Cricetulus griseus: one gene and its partners. The protein of the gene in region 2 binds, or shares a complex with, the protein of the main gene of each other region. Links are inferred from orthologs where the notes say so. Each region holds a gene or a part of one and is shown on either strand. Other genes may lie near its edges.

Region 1 (3,680 bases), on a different chromosome or scaffold from region 2:
ATACTCGACCTCCCTACCCGAGAAAAGCATGAAAAACCAGAGCAGATTGGCATTAAATGACAGCTTTTTCTGAGATTCACAATAGAAGACTATAACTGAATTAAATGGCAAAGTTATGAATACAGTGTGTGTGTTTGCGCGTGCGTGTGTGTGTGAGTGTGTCCCCAGGTTCACCTGTATTTTAAGTCTTTCAAGGATCCCATTCAGTAGTAACTCGAATTTCATCCAGAGTAAATAGGGAGCGATCCCTCTGTGGCTGTGCTTGGTCACCACACTCTCGAGAAGGCAGCCACAATCGTTCTGCACAGTCTGAGGCGGAACTGCCGGCAGGACTGCCTACTTCCCCACAGCCTGGAGGCCGCCGCTGGAAAAGCTCGCACAGGCTAGGAGGACAGCGCCTCCAATCGTTCCTCCCTCCTCCACTCCACCAACACCTGGCCCTGCTCCTCTCCTCCCTGGACATGTGCGAGCTGCAATGTCTTGCCACTGGCGCAGGAGGTACAGGATGCTGCACTTGGAGCTAGAGATTCCTGAGCCAGCGAGCCAGAGCCAGTGTCCACACATGCCCTCACAGCAGCTTCTGTCCGCCACTTGAGATCACATTAGCATCCCGAATTCGACAGTCCCAATCCCGGCCCCCCAGGCCTTCTCCATCTGCTTGAGATCCTAGTACAGCAAGTGCAGCGGGCCAGAGAAGGTGCTGTTCTCCAGTGGACAGGCAATCTAGCTCCTAGTCACATCCCAGTTATTCGCTCAATTAGCTCGGGGTCAGACTGAACGCTCTGAGCCCTCGTCTGGTGGTTCCAGCAGTCTTTAGCTGTCACAGAAACTTTCCAGAAGCGCTGGGTACGGGGCCCTGCACTGTAAAGGGGAGGAGGCGCTGGGAAAGGGGCGGCGAGCGAGCGGGAAAAATGTCGGGGTCCGGTTTCCGTTCCTGACACACGCACGATCCGGACAGCAGACTGACTGCTCAGGATCCTGGTCTATACCGTCTCCCTCCGTGGGGAGCTGAGAAAAACGAAGCGATGGGTAAAAGTGACACTGCCCACCCAGTAGGGTCACTAACAGGGAACTGCCCAGCTTGCTTCGGGCGCCCCACAGCTCCAGAGATAGAGCTCCAGGACACAACAAGCAGACAGGACACCCAACAATCTGCAGCCCGGCAGAGCTTTCATCAGAGTGGCAAGCCCAGTGCTATTTCTTGCCAGGTCTCCCCACCCTTCTCTCTCCCGGGGTACATCTTTTCTCGAGAGGGACAGCACAGGTCTTGGAGGAAGGCGCAGCAGGGGCCAGCCTTAGCGTGGATAGCTCAGTGCTTGAGAGAGACGCAGCTGCGACAAATGGTGCCCTGTTCGCTCGGGTGGGAGCTGAGGCAGGGGACAGGACCTAGGGCGGGGGCGCCGCGCCATACCAAGACACCGCTCCTAGGCACTTACTCCAGCTAACAAAGCCAGGAACCTCTCTCTGGTGCCAGCGGCGACTGAAGAGTGGATCCCACCAAGAGAGAGGGCGCGCAGATGCTCAGGGCCATTACAAGTTTCACGCACTCCACGGAGCCCAGCCCAGACCCCACACTGATAACAAAAGATCCTCATCTCTTCTCCACCGTCCCCGCACAACCATTTCTCCCACACCAGAACCAAAACCTGTGGCTGGACACAAACAGCTTTGTACTCCCCAAGCCTCTCCGGCCCTCGAGGGCAGGACCCCTTCCCTTCCCCAGCATTCGACACCAGGACCCGGCGCTTTTGAAAATCCCACCCTCCAGGGCCACTCTCCTCCCTACTGGCCCAAGAGTGAGCTCTTAGCCTCGGGTCATACACACACACACACACACACACACACACACACACACACACACACACACACACCGCTGGGCAGGACAGCCATCCGTTTGGTCTAGGTCCGGGGCGGCGCCGGTCTTGTGTGCGATCGGGTGGGGAAGCTCCTGACATGGAGCCCGGAGTCTCTGGGGCTCAGGACTGAAAAGAGCTGCAGGCAGGGCTTGGGGCTACTCCCCCAGGAAGGGACAACGTTCGGGAGACAGAGACATAAGACCAAATACAACACAGGCTCTACAAAGCCCACAACGCGCACCTGGGGTAACCCCAGGACCCTCGCCCTAGCCCGGATCCAGGAGGTGGGGCGCTCAGGGACGCTAGGGCCATACCTTTTCGGTGCATCGACGGGCAGGCGGCCGCGGCTCGGAGCGGACTGGCACGGCGTGTATCCCATTTAGTAATCCATTATCGAGAAGATCTCTCTGGGCCTTGAGCTGCGCTCTTTCCTTCGCAAGCCTTTGTCATTCCTACATGTGTGCTTGTCTCTTTGGGGGCAACAGTCACGGCGATTACTTTCTAGGATGCAAGCGAGCTGTGTTCATCTCCAATGGCAGAAGAGGACGGGAGGGGAAGGCAAAAAAAAAAAAATTGAAAAAGGGAAAAGAAAAGAAAAAGGAAAAAAAAAACAGAGGAAGAAAAGCCAGCGAGAACCAGGGCAAATGTTCAAGAAACTCTTTTCCAAATCCGAATTCCACTTGGATTCACTTCTGAGCCCCCTCAGCGGTGCCAGCGCCCATTAACTAGTCATTTCAGGGCGGGGGGCGGGGTGGGGGTTGAGGAAGAGGTGCAGGGTTCTGGCCGGCTCTGCAACCCCGAGCTCAGTGTCCCGGGTGTGGCGACGCTGGCCGCGGCCGCACGCTCCTAGGCGGGCATCTCGGGCAGTCGGCACCGCGGAGAAGCGCCTGTGCTGCGTCCCGAGCGCCTAGGCAGCCGAGTGCGTGGGGAGCGGAGTTGGCTGCAGCCTCACCCCGTGCGGCTCACTACTCCAGTGTCACCGGAGAGGCCGACGCTCCGGGCGGAGCCAAGTCCCGGACTGGATTACACAGAGAGGACTCTCCTCCAGCAACCCCGCCTCCCTGGGCTGGCGTCTCCGACCCGAAGGAGAGCTGTGGTGTGTGTGCGAGAGGGAGGGAGAGGGATGGAGACAGTGCGAATAAGCCAAAGGAAAGGGAGACTTGACGCCGCGTGGCTGCAGGTAGAGCTTTGGACTGAGTCGCCAGCACCGCTTCTAACCACCTCAATTCTCCGCCCCGGGGCGCGCACCAAGGAGGTCCCGGCAGGGGCGACTCCAGGAGAAGCCCAGCCCTCAGCCCTCGTCTCCCCACCCCCACAACTGCTCTAGCAAGAGAAGGGGGAAAAAAGAGGGTGGGGGGAGAGAAGAAAAAGAAAAGAAAGCCCAGACAGCATTGCTGAGCCCTGCCAAATCAGAAAAATAAATAAAAATAGACAGTGAGGAGCGAGTTACAAGAAAGAGTTTGTCCATCGATTTTCTTAAATGGAAAAGTTTTAAAGGGACGGCGAACCTTTCTATTTCTGATTACTGTATCAGGAGGTAGATTCTGGAAGTGATGGACCTTCTTCCTGCCCGGATGAATTGGATACAAGACTGTGTGGCTAAAATTAGTTTCTCGCACGCACTCGTTTATAGCACACGTTAAATAAACATATAAACTACGGTGCTGAGAACGTGGTTAACGACCGCGATCGGCTTGAAAACGTCTTAGTTTCAAAGTCCGTCTTAGAGCATTTACTTAGAAATGAGTAAACTTTAGAAATAAGACTTAAATAATGCCAAAGTGAATCCAGCAGCTTCTTGGAAAAGGAAAATCGCAACTATTT
Region 2 (3,648 bases):
CAGATCTTTTCATTGCTATCCTCTCTTCCTGAAACTGTTCCTGCACTGCCCCTTTCTGGCTGAGGTAAGCCTCCCATTCTTCAAATGAAAGCATTCACTACTACTGAGGGAAATCCTTCATGAATGCTGCTTCAGGCCATGCAAACTCACAGACTTTCCAGAACATCTGGTCCTTCCCATTCATGCATTTCACAGTATTGTGCCCTATGCTGCTTCAGGCTCTCTGTGGACTAGCTTATAATGCTTGTTTAATTAATCCAGAGCTGTCCCTCGAGACTACTTCATTCTGTGCACCAGACTCTCAGCCCAGTGTCTGCCAGAAAACAGGTGCTCACCGCAGTGTTAATGAATAAATGAGTGGGGTTAAAGGCATCCTCACCACATTGGTCTGGAAGGACTCACATCTAGTGAAGGAAGTCGAGCAAACAGAGGGTAAGAGGAGATGAGAGACCCACCTTCACCCACCTGGTGCTCAGAATGATGCTTTCTGCCTCCTAGGTGTGTACAGTGGTAAACACAACCACCCTCACCTGTCTGGCACCTTCTCTGACCAGTGACTACCGTCCAGGCCTGGACACGGTGGAACGGCCAGATGAGTTTGGATTTCTCTTTAACAATGTCCAGTCCCTACTCATCTATAATGACACCAAGTTCATCTACTACCCCAACCCAACTTTTGAACTGCTCAGCCCCACTGGGATCTTGGATCAGAAGCCAGGCTCACCCATCATCCTGAAGGTAAGAACACCAATGGAGAGGAGGGGCCTGGATAGTAGGGAGAGAGTGCTGTAGGCCCTTCCCGATTTAGGAGGCCAAATCTCCAGGTGGTAGCATCCAGTTTTGTTGCACCCCACCCTTAAATCCCATGTGACCTCCTTCCATCTTTATTTGTCCAGTTTTGTTTCTCCTCTTCCTTTCCTCCTTCCCCAAACATCCCCCACTGCATTTTTCACTTTTCTTTGCTTTTTTGTTGTTGTTGTTTTTGTTTGTTTGTTTGGTCTCCTCTAATCTGTGGCTGGTTGAAGTATCCTTTAAAAACCTAGCATGGAGGCATTTATTGGTTTTTGCTTTGCTGCCCCACCCTGTCTCCTTTATATCTCTTTAAGTAGGCAATTAATTTCTGCTTGCCTATGCCAATTCTTCTCATTAAGACACCTGTTCTCTACAGGGCAAAAATCTCTGCCCTCCTGCCTCTGGAGGGGCCAAACTCAACTACACAGTAATGATTGGAGAGACGCCTTGTGCAGTCACAGTATCTGAGACACAGCTACTCTGTGAACCTCCCAACCTCACCGGACAACACAAGGTCATGGTAAGTGAACCATCTTCTGTCTCCTTCCTCTGCTCAGCCTTAACATACAAACATGATGAAAGATTCCATTTCATCTCATTACCTGACTCATGACCTCCATATTTCCTCATCTCCATGTCCTACACCAAAAAAGATAGCAGTTGGGAACACATAAATAGCAAGACAGATGCCAAGGTAGAAACTGTGTAGTATCCAAATATGAACTGTAATGTTAGAGTCTATCCTGTCATTCTTCACACTGTAATACTGTAGAATAATGACAGCATGCTGGGGCTTTACACCTGTGTGCACTGTATATGTGTCTGTATGTACAATGCACAGGTTCACGTGGGCGGGATGGTGTTCTCACCTGGCTCGGTGAGTGTCATCTCCGACAGCTTGCTGACCCTGCCAGCCATCATCAGCATTGCAGCTGGTGGAAGCCTCCTCCTTATCATCGTCATCATTGTCCTCATCGCTTATAAACGAAAGTCTAGGGAAAATGACCTCACACTCAAGCGGCTCCAAATGCAGATGGACAACCTGGAGTCCAGGGTAGCACTGGAGTGCAAGGAAGGTGAGTACAAGTATATCCTCACTTCCTTTTTCACTAATCTCAATACCCTCCTGACTTTATTCCGATCCTTTCCCCACAAGCCTTTATATTCTATTCTTTCCCAGGAGCTTCCCCTGTCCCCAGGGTTAGAGCAGACCTAGGGGGAGACTCACGAGTGAGGAAACGGGTCCATTGACATCATTCACTGTCCCCACTCTACCCCAATTCAACCTGCCCCACCCCCTCAGGACTACTGTGCCATCACAGTCGAGTTTGCCAGGCCTTACTGTCTCAGACCAGATTCTTTATTTGCCAGTGTCTATCCCTTTGCTAATATTCACAGAGATACCTTTACACTATATGGAAGCCACAGCAGGGAAAGTAGGAGAGCCCCACCTCTGTCCTGGCCCATCATCTCCAAGGATTTGTTTTCTATCACTATTGTAGACTAAATGTTCCAAAGGCCATGCTTGCTGGCAGCCTTGGGTATGAATATGTGTAGGAGTGGAGATTGTGTTTTCTCTCATCTCCCACGCAGACACATCCACAGAGTGACAAGTATACCTGGCATTCTTTCGGGCTGAGGACCTGGCAGGCTGTCTGGGTAAACATCTCAATTAGGAATCAAAACATTTTTTTTTTCTTTTGCTGCATGTGGCTTTTCACTAGCAAGCAACTGTTGGACAATGGGGAAAAATTGTACTGGAAGAGTTGGCTCAGAACCTTCCTGTTAGGGAGAGATCTTACTAGGTACCTGGGGCACTGACCATGTTTGTTTGGGCATGGCCACAGGTGCATGGGGGCGGGGCATGTGGGATATAGGCCTGGGGAGAGGAATTGCCCAACCTGGGAAGCCAGGGAGACACTTGGGAGCCCTTCACTGCCTGGACTGTGGGATGAGCATTTGATAGCCAAGGCTCTTCAGGGTTTTTACTTCTCAGTCATCTTCTTGCCAGGGGAAAAGGATCAGTTTGCTTATTCTGACCTTTGCTGAACTCCAGCAGTTCTCCTCTTGCCTCTGACACCTACAAAGGGCCTAAATCATGATGTTCTCTTCTCTATATTTTAGCCACCTCTACAAAGGTAGAAGTAAAAAAAAAAATTACAGATAAGCATAGAAGACCCTAACCCTAACCCTAACCCAGATTCCATGTGCTATCACAAATCCTAGGAGGTAATCACTTAGTAAAAAGAAAAGAGGCAGGCTGGGAGACAGCTCAGTCACATGCATGAAGACCTGATAATGATTCCTGTAGCCCACATAAAAATATGGCAGGCATGTGGTGTGTGCTTATAATTCCAGCTCAGAAAGCAGAAACGGGAGGGTCTCCAGCTAATGAAACCCTGTCTCAAAGGAAGTGGACAGTGTCTCTGAAGATGTCACATATCTGTTCACCTGCGCGCGCGCGCACACACACACACACACACACACACACACACACACACACACACACACACACACAATTTTTTAACAGTTATTTTGTCTCAGCTTGGAAATTTTCTGTGTACGATTAGTCAGTTCTGTTGCTAGTAGGCCTATGCTGAGGCTGCATAGTGGTTAAAGTACATAGCCAAGTAAAGATGGAGATCCAGAGTCCCATGATCCCCTTAAAGCACACCCCCAACCCCTGAGATCTTCCCCAGGTTCCACCTCTTCAAACTTTTACTGCACCTCCCCAACCCCCAGTTGGGGACTGTGTCTTTGGGAGAGCCTTAAAATACTATAGGAAGTAACCTACAGCATCAGCCTAGAACCCTTTTCTTCTCACAGCCCTCTAACCTGCTGCCTCTGTGCCTAGCT
Region 3 (3,648 bases), on a different chromosome or scaffold from region 2:
AGGAGCAACAGAATCACTAATGAAGATGCATATATGAGGATTCCATACGTGTCCATGAATACAAGCCAGCAGATGCCCTCAATTAGCTACACAGAACATGTGTATTTTGCATGCTCTACTCCAATCAACCCAAAAAGCCAATACTTGCAGGCAAATATCTCAAACAAGCCCTACAGACAGAATTCCTATATTCTATCAATGACATAGAACTGTGGCAGAATAGGAGTGAACGTGTAGTCGTTGCGGAGGGGGGCATCTTATCTTCTTCTATTTGTGATGGAAGTGAGGCATCTACTCAGACTTGGAAAAAGCAGTGAAAAGGACTTGAGAAGAAAAGAGTGTTTTCTGGGGGCCACCTGAGTGAGGCCAGCTCTGCTACTCTCTCTGTGTGAGTATGATCATTTTCATGGATTGATTTGTGTTCAGGGCTCTTTCCTGTGTTTGATATCGCACCCATTTTTATTTGACAGCCTTGCTAGAGGCCAGCCCAGCTGTGCCCAGCCTTGTTCCACCTACCTGGATCCACTCCCGATAGGAGTCCTGTCCGGGAGTCCACCCATTTTCAGGGTAGTTTAGGCGGGAGCGCTCTACAGACCAGTTGGTGCCATACTGTGAGGATGCTGTGATCTGGTCGGAATGGATTTCTCCAGATTCCATGCCCAGAGCCTCCATACACTTGAAATCTGCAGACAAATTATAAAGGGCCAAAAACATAGTTTAAATTTAATGTGGCAAACTAAGGAGTTCACAAATGGCCTGGGGAGATGATTCAGTGTTAGGACCTGCATTTGGTCCTTACCACCCAAGTAAATGGAAGCTGGGCCTGGAATATCAACACTGCCAGTCAGATCCCTGGGGCTTGCTGGGTAGCCAGTCTGCCCAATTCATAGTCCAGATTCATTGGGAGATTCTGTCTCAACACATACGGTGGACAGTGACTGAGGAAGACACACAGCTTGATGTCAAATTCAGGCCTACACACACACACACACACACACACACACACACACACACACACACACACACACACACACACGATAGACGAGAGAGAGGAGAGAGAGAGAGAAACAGAGTTCATTAACAAAACCTGGCAAAATATGCAACATGGGATTACTGGAACATGTCACCTATAATTATGTTTTCCTGAATATGGATCTTTAAAAGTAAGACTATGAATGTCAGCACAGTTATTCTTAATACTCCCATGTGGGCTAAGGTTGACAAAATGCTCTCTGAGGTAGGGATGCGGTTTGGTGATGGAGTGCCTGTGCAGCATGAATGGAGCCACATAGGTGGCATGCCAGCACTTCGTCATTTGAAGTGGTGGGGCATACCACCTGTAATCCCAGCATCCTGAACTTCTGACCTTCAGAAGTTCATTGCTATCCTTACACACTGAGTTGGAAGCCAGAGATCATGTGTCAAAATAAAACTAATTAAAAATTAAAAAGAAGGGAAAAGAAAAAATCTTTTCCCTTAAGTTGAAAATCTCATGTCTGTTATATCAATGGAAAGCTGACCAGTATGTCCAGCAATAGAAATTTCACATTTTTCTAAAATTTGCGTCCTAACAGATAAGTTTTTGACTAGCCAAATAAGTTAAGTGTAAACACATTTTGGATTTCATTCTCCTTTTCATTTCCCAGTCAGATATGGGGCAGAAAACAACAGCAGCTTGGCTATGCAGGTCAGCAAAAGCAATGAGACACAGGTTTTTTTTCCACCTGGCCTTCAAAAGAACCCCTAGCCACATGAACTTTAGTCAGTGATTTTTCTTTTCATTTCATTCCTCTGTTGTGCAGAGGGGTTGCAATGCTGGAACTTGAATCTAGGGACTCCTGCTTTGCAGGCAAGTATTCTACCACTGAGCTATTTACCATGCCCTGAGCGTTTTAATAAAGTCTTTAAAAATACATTACTCTTTTTATTGGAAAGGTATGTAAGACAAATTGAAATATTCTCCTTTTACAGATTAGGTCAGCAGGTTTAATGCTTACCTAGCAGGTACCAAGTCCTAGGTTTAACCCTAATATTTTGTGTCCAGGTCACCTGTAATCCCAGCACTTGGGAGTTAGAGGCAGGAGGCTCAGGAGTTAAAGGTCATCCTTGGCTATACAGTGAGTTTTAGGCCAACCTGGTATACGTGAGAATCTGTTCTCAAAAAAAAAAAATTATAGTTGGTGAGATGGCTCAGCAGGTAACAGCCTTTGTCACCAGAATCCACTTGGTGAAAGGAGAGAACTGATGCCTGTCTGTCTGTCTGTCTGTCTGTCTGTCTGTCTCAAACACACGCATATACATATAATAAATTAATTGACTTAAAATGTAAAAGAATAAAAACATTCTTTTACACATCCTACTTTAAAAAAAAAAAAACTTTGTAAGAAAATGGTAATGAGACCCCAGGGTCACCTACAGCCAACAACCCTCTGTGTATCAGCTACCCCCAGCTGGTTCTGCCTGGAACTGTGCTTTGTGGTTCCTGACACCTGTGCCTTTGAGGTGCCAGGGAAGCTTCCCAGTCACCCCTCATTGTTTCCATGTAGTGTTCAGTCATTTTCCGCTTCCCTAACTGCAGAGGTTCACAGATAATTTTATGGAGGAAATACACCAAATGACATTTTTCCAATTGACACTCACACACAGAAAGTTTTTTTTTTTTATTCCAGAGAAAGATAAACAGTGGGCACCACAGTTCACAGAACATTTCTTTAGTGCTTTGTGTGGCCTCAGGTGTATGAGAAATAATGGGCAGTGTTTACTATAGGGCTTTGTGAGATGAATACATACTGACCTTCAGAGACGCTGCTCTGCAACACACTGTAGTTGGCTGAGAAACCTTCCTTTGCTATGGCGCTGTCGGTGTAAAAGACCATGGATAGAATGCCGGAAGATGAGCGGATCCGACCAGGTGTTTTCTGCCCACAGTAGCGCCCAATGTGAGGGCCAACTGGAAAAGCAGAAATACAGAGAATATCAGACTGTCCTTTCTTCTACAGAAGATACAAAAATAACCATTTATAAGCATGAGTCTCAGAAGACCTCAGAAGAACACAAAGACTGTTGTAGCCTAATACAAATCTCTCCTGGCTAATGGGTGAATAGAGCTCATACTGGAGGACTGGAGAGGATTTGGAAAGATGCTCAGCCAGGCGTTCACAGGCACAATCATAGCACCCCCCCCCCCCCAGCCAGCCTGGTTCGTCTCAGGAATGGAACACATTGGGGAGATGGCTCAATGCCACAAAGACCAGAGTTCAAATCCCCAGTGTCTACACACAAAACAGGGAGGGTGTAGTATGGTAGCCCAGCTGTAAGCCCAAAGGTCAGTAGGCAGAGGCAGAGATCCCAAGCACAAGTTGGTGAGTGATCTCTGTATTCCATGAGAGATTGCAAACAGAGACAAGTTTGCAATAGAGGAAGACATTCAGTGTCAACCTCTGATCTCCACATGTACCTGTGGACCCATAAACACACAGTCACTCACACACATGAGAACACATGTTATACATACACACACAGAACATATGCACATACATGTAAAATCAAAATGAAACAAAAGCAAAGTGGATGACTAGTAAGAAATGATACACACAGGTACATATACACATACACCAGAGCGAGGGGTGGGGGATGGGAGTGGGGGGG

What was found.
Region 1: the proteins of Plxna2 (region 2) and Sema6a are in contact, whole or in part, in a crystal structure (PDB 3AL8), measured with the Mus musculus proteins. The link is inferred for Cricetulus griseus from reciprocal best matches to the Homo sapiens genes PLXNA2 and SEMA6A. Residues at the interface, in NP_032908.2 of Mus musculus: Ala93, Cys94, Tyr95, Pro96, Lys155, Gln192, Asp193, Tyr194, Asp220, Phe221, Val222, Pro229, Ser230, Asp231, Leu386, Lys389, Val391, Thr394, Lys395, Ala396, Pro397, Val398, Leu407, Asp408, Ile409, Asn410, Gln411; in NP_061214.2 of Mus musculus: Arg108, Met109, Lys110, Gly111, Met162, Ala163, Thr188, Phe190, Leu191, Ile193, Tyr198, Thr206, Arg208, His212, Asp213, Ser214, Glu219, Gln266, Arg267, Glu270, Lys271, Lys393.
Region 3: the proteins of Plxna2 (region 2) and Nrp1 are in contact, whole or in part, in a crystal structure (PDB 4GZA), measured with the Mus musculus proteins. The link is inferred for Cricetulus griseus from reciprocal best matches to the Homo sapiens genes PLXNA2 and NRP1. Residues at the interface, in NP_032908.2 of Mus musculus: Asp273, Leu274, Phe275, Glu306, Lys341, Gly342, Gln343, Lys344, Gln345, His348, Pro350; in NP_032763.2 of Mus musculus: Glu78, Arg80, Asp81, Lys83, Tyr84, Asp126, Tyr127, Glu128, Thr129.

What each region holds. Positions count from the first base shown.
Region 1 is NC_048595.1:190,732,444-190,736,123, reverse strand, and holds the start of Sema6a (semaphorin-6A), read right to left. Parts: upstream 2,810-3,680; 5' UTR 2,171-2,809; intron 1-2,170. UniProt on the Homo sapiens protein: Cell surface receptor for PLXNA2 that plays an important role in cell-cell signaling. Required for normal granule cell migration in the developing cerebellum.
Region 2 is NC_048598.1:479,887-483,534, reverse strand, and holds part of Plxna2 (plexin-A2), read left to right. Parts: intron 1-498; coding exon 499-738; intron 739-1,168; coding exon 1,169-1,312; intron 1,313-1,633; coding exon 1,634-1,868; intron 1,869-3,648. UniProt on the Homo sapiens protein: Coreceptor for SEMA3A and SEMA6A. Necessary for signaling by SEMA6A and class 3 semaphorins and subsequent remodeling of the cytoskeleton. Plays a role in axon guidance, invasive growth and cell migration.
Region 3 is NC_048596.1:205,238,286-205,241,933, reverse strand, and holds part of Nrp1 (neuropilin-1), read right to left. Parts: intron 2,951-3,648; coding exon 2,795-2,950; intron 684-2,794; coding exon 517-683; intron 1-516. UniProt on the Homo sapiens protein: Cell-surface receptor involved in the development of the cardiovascular system, in angiogenesis, in the formation of certain neuronal circuits and in organogenesis outside the nervous system. Mediates the chemorepulsant activity of semaphorins.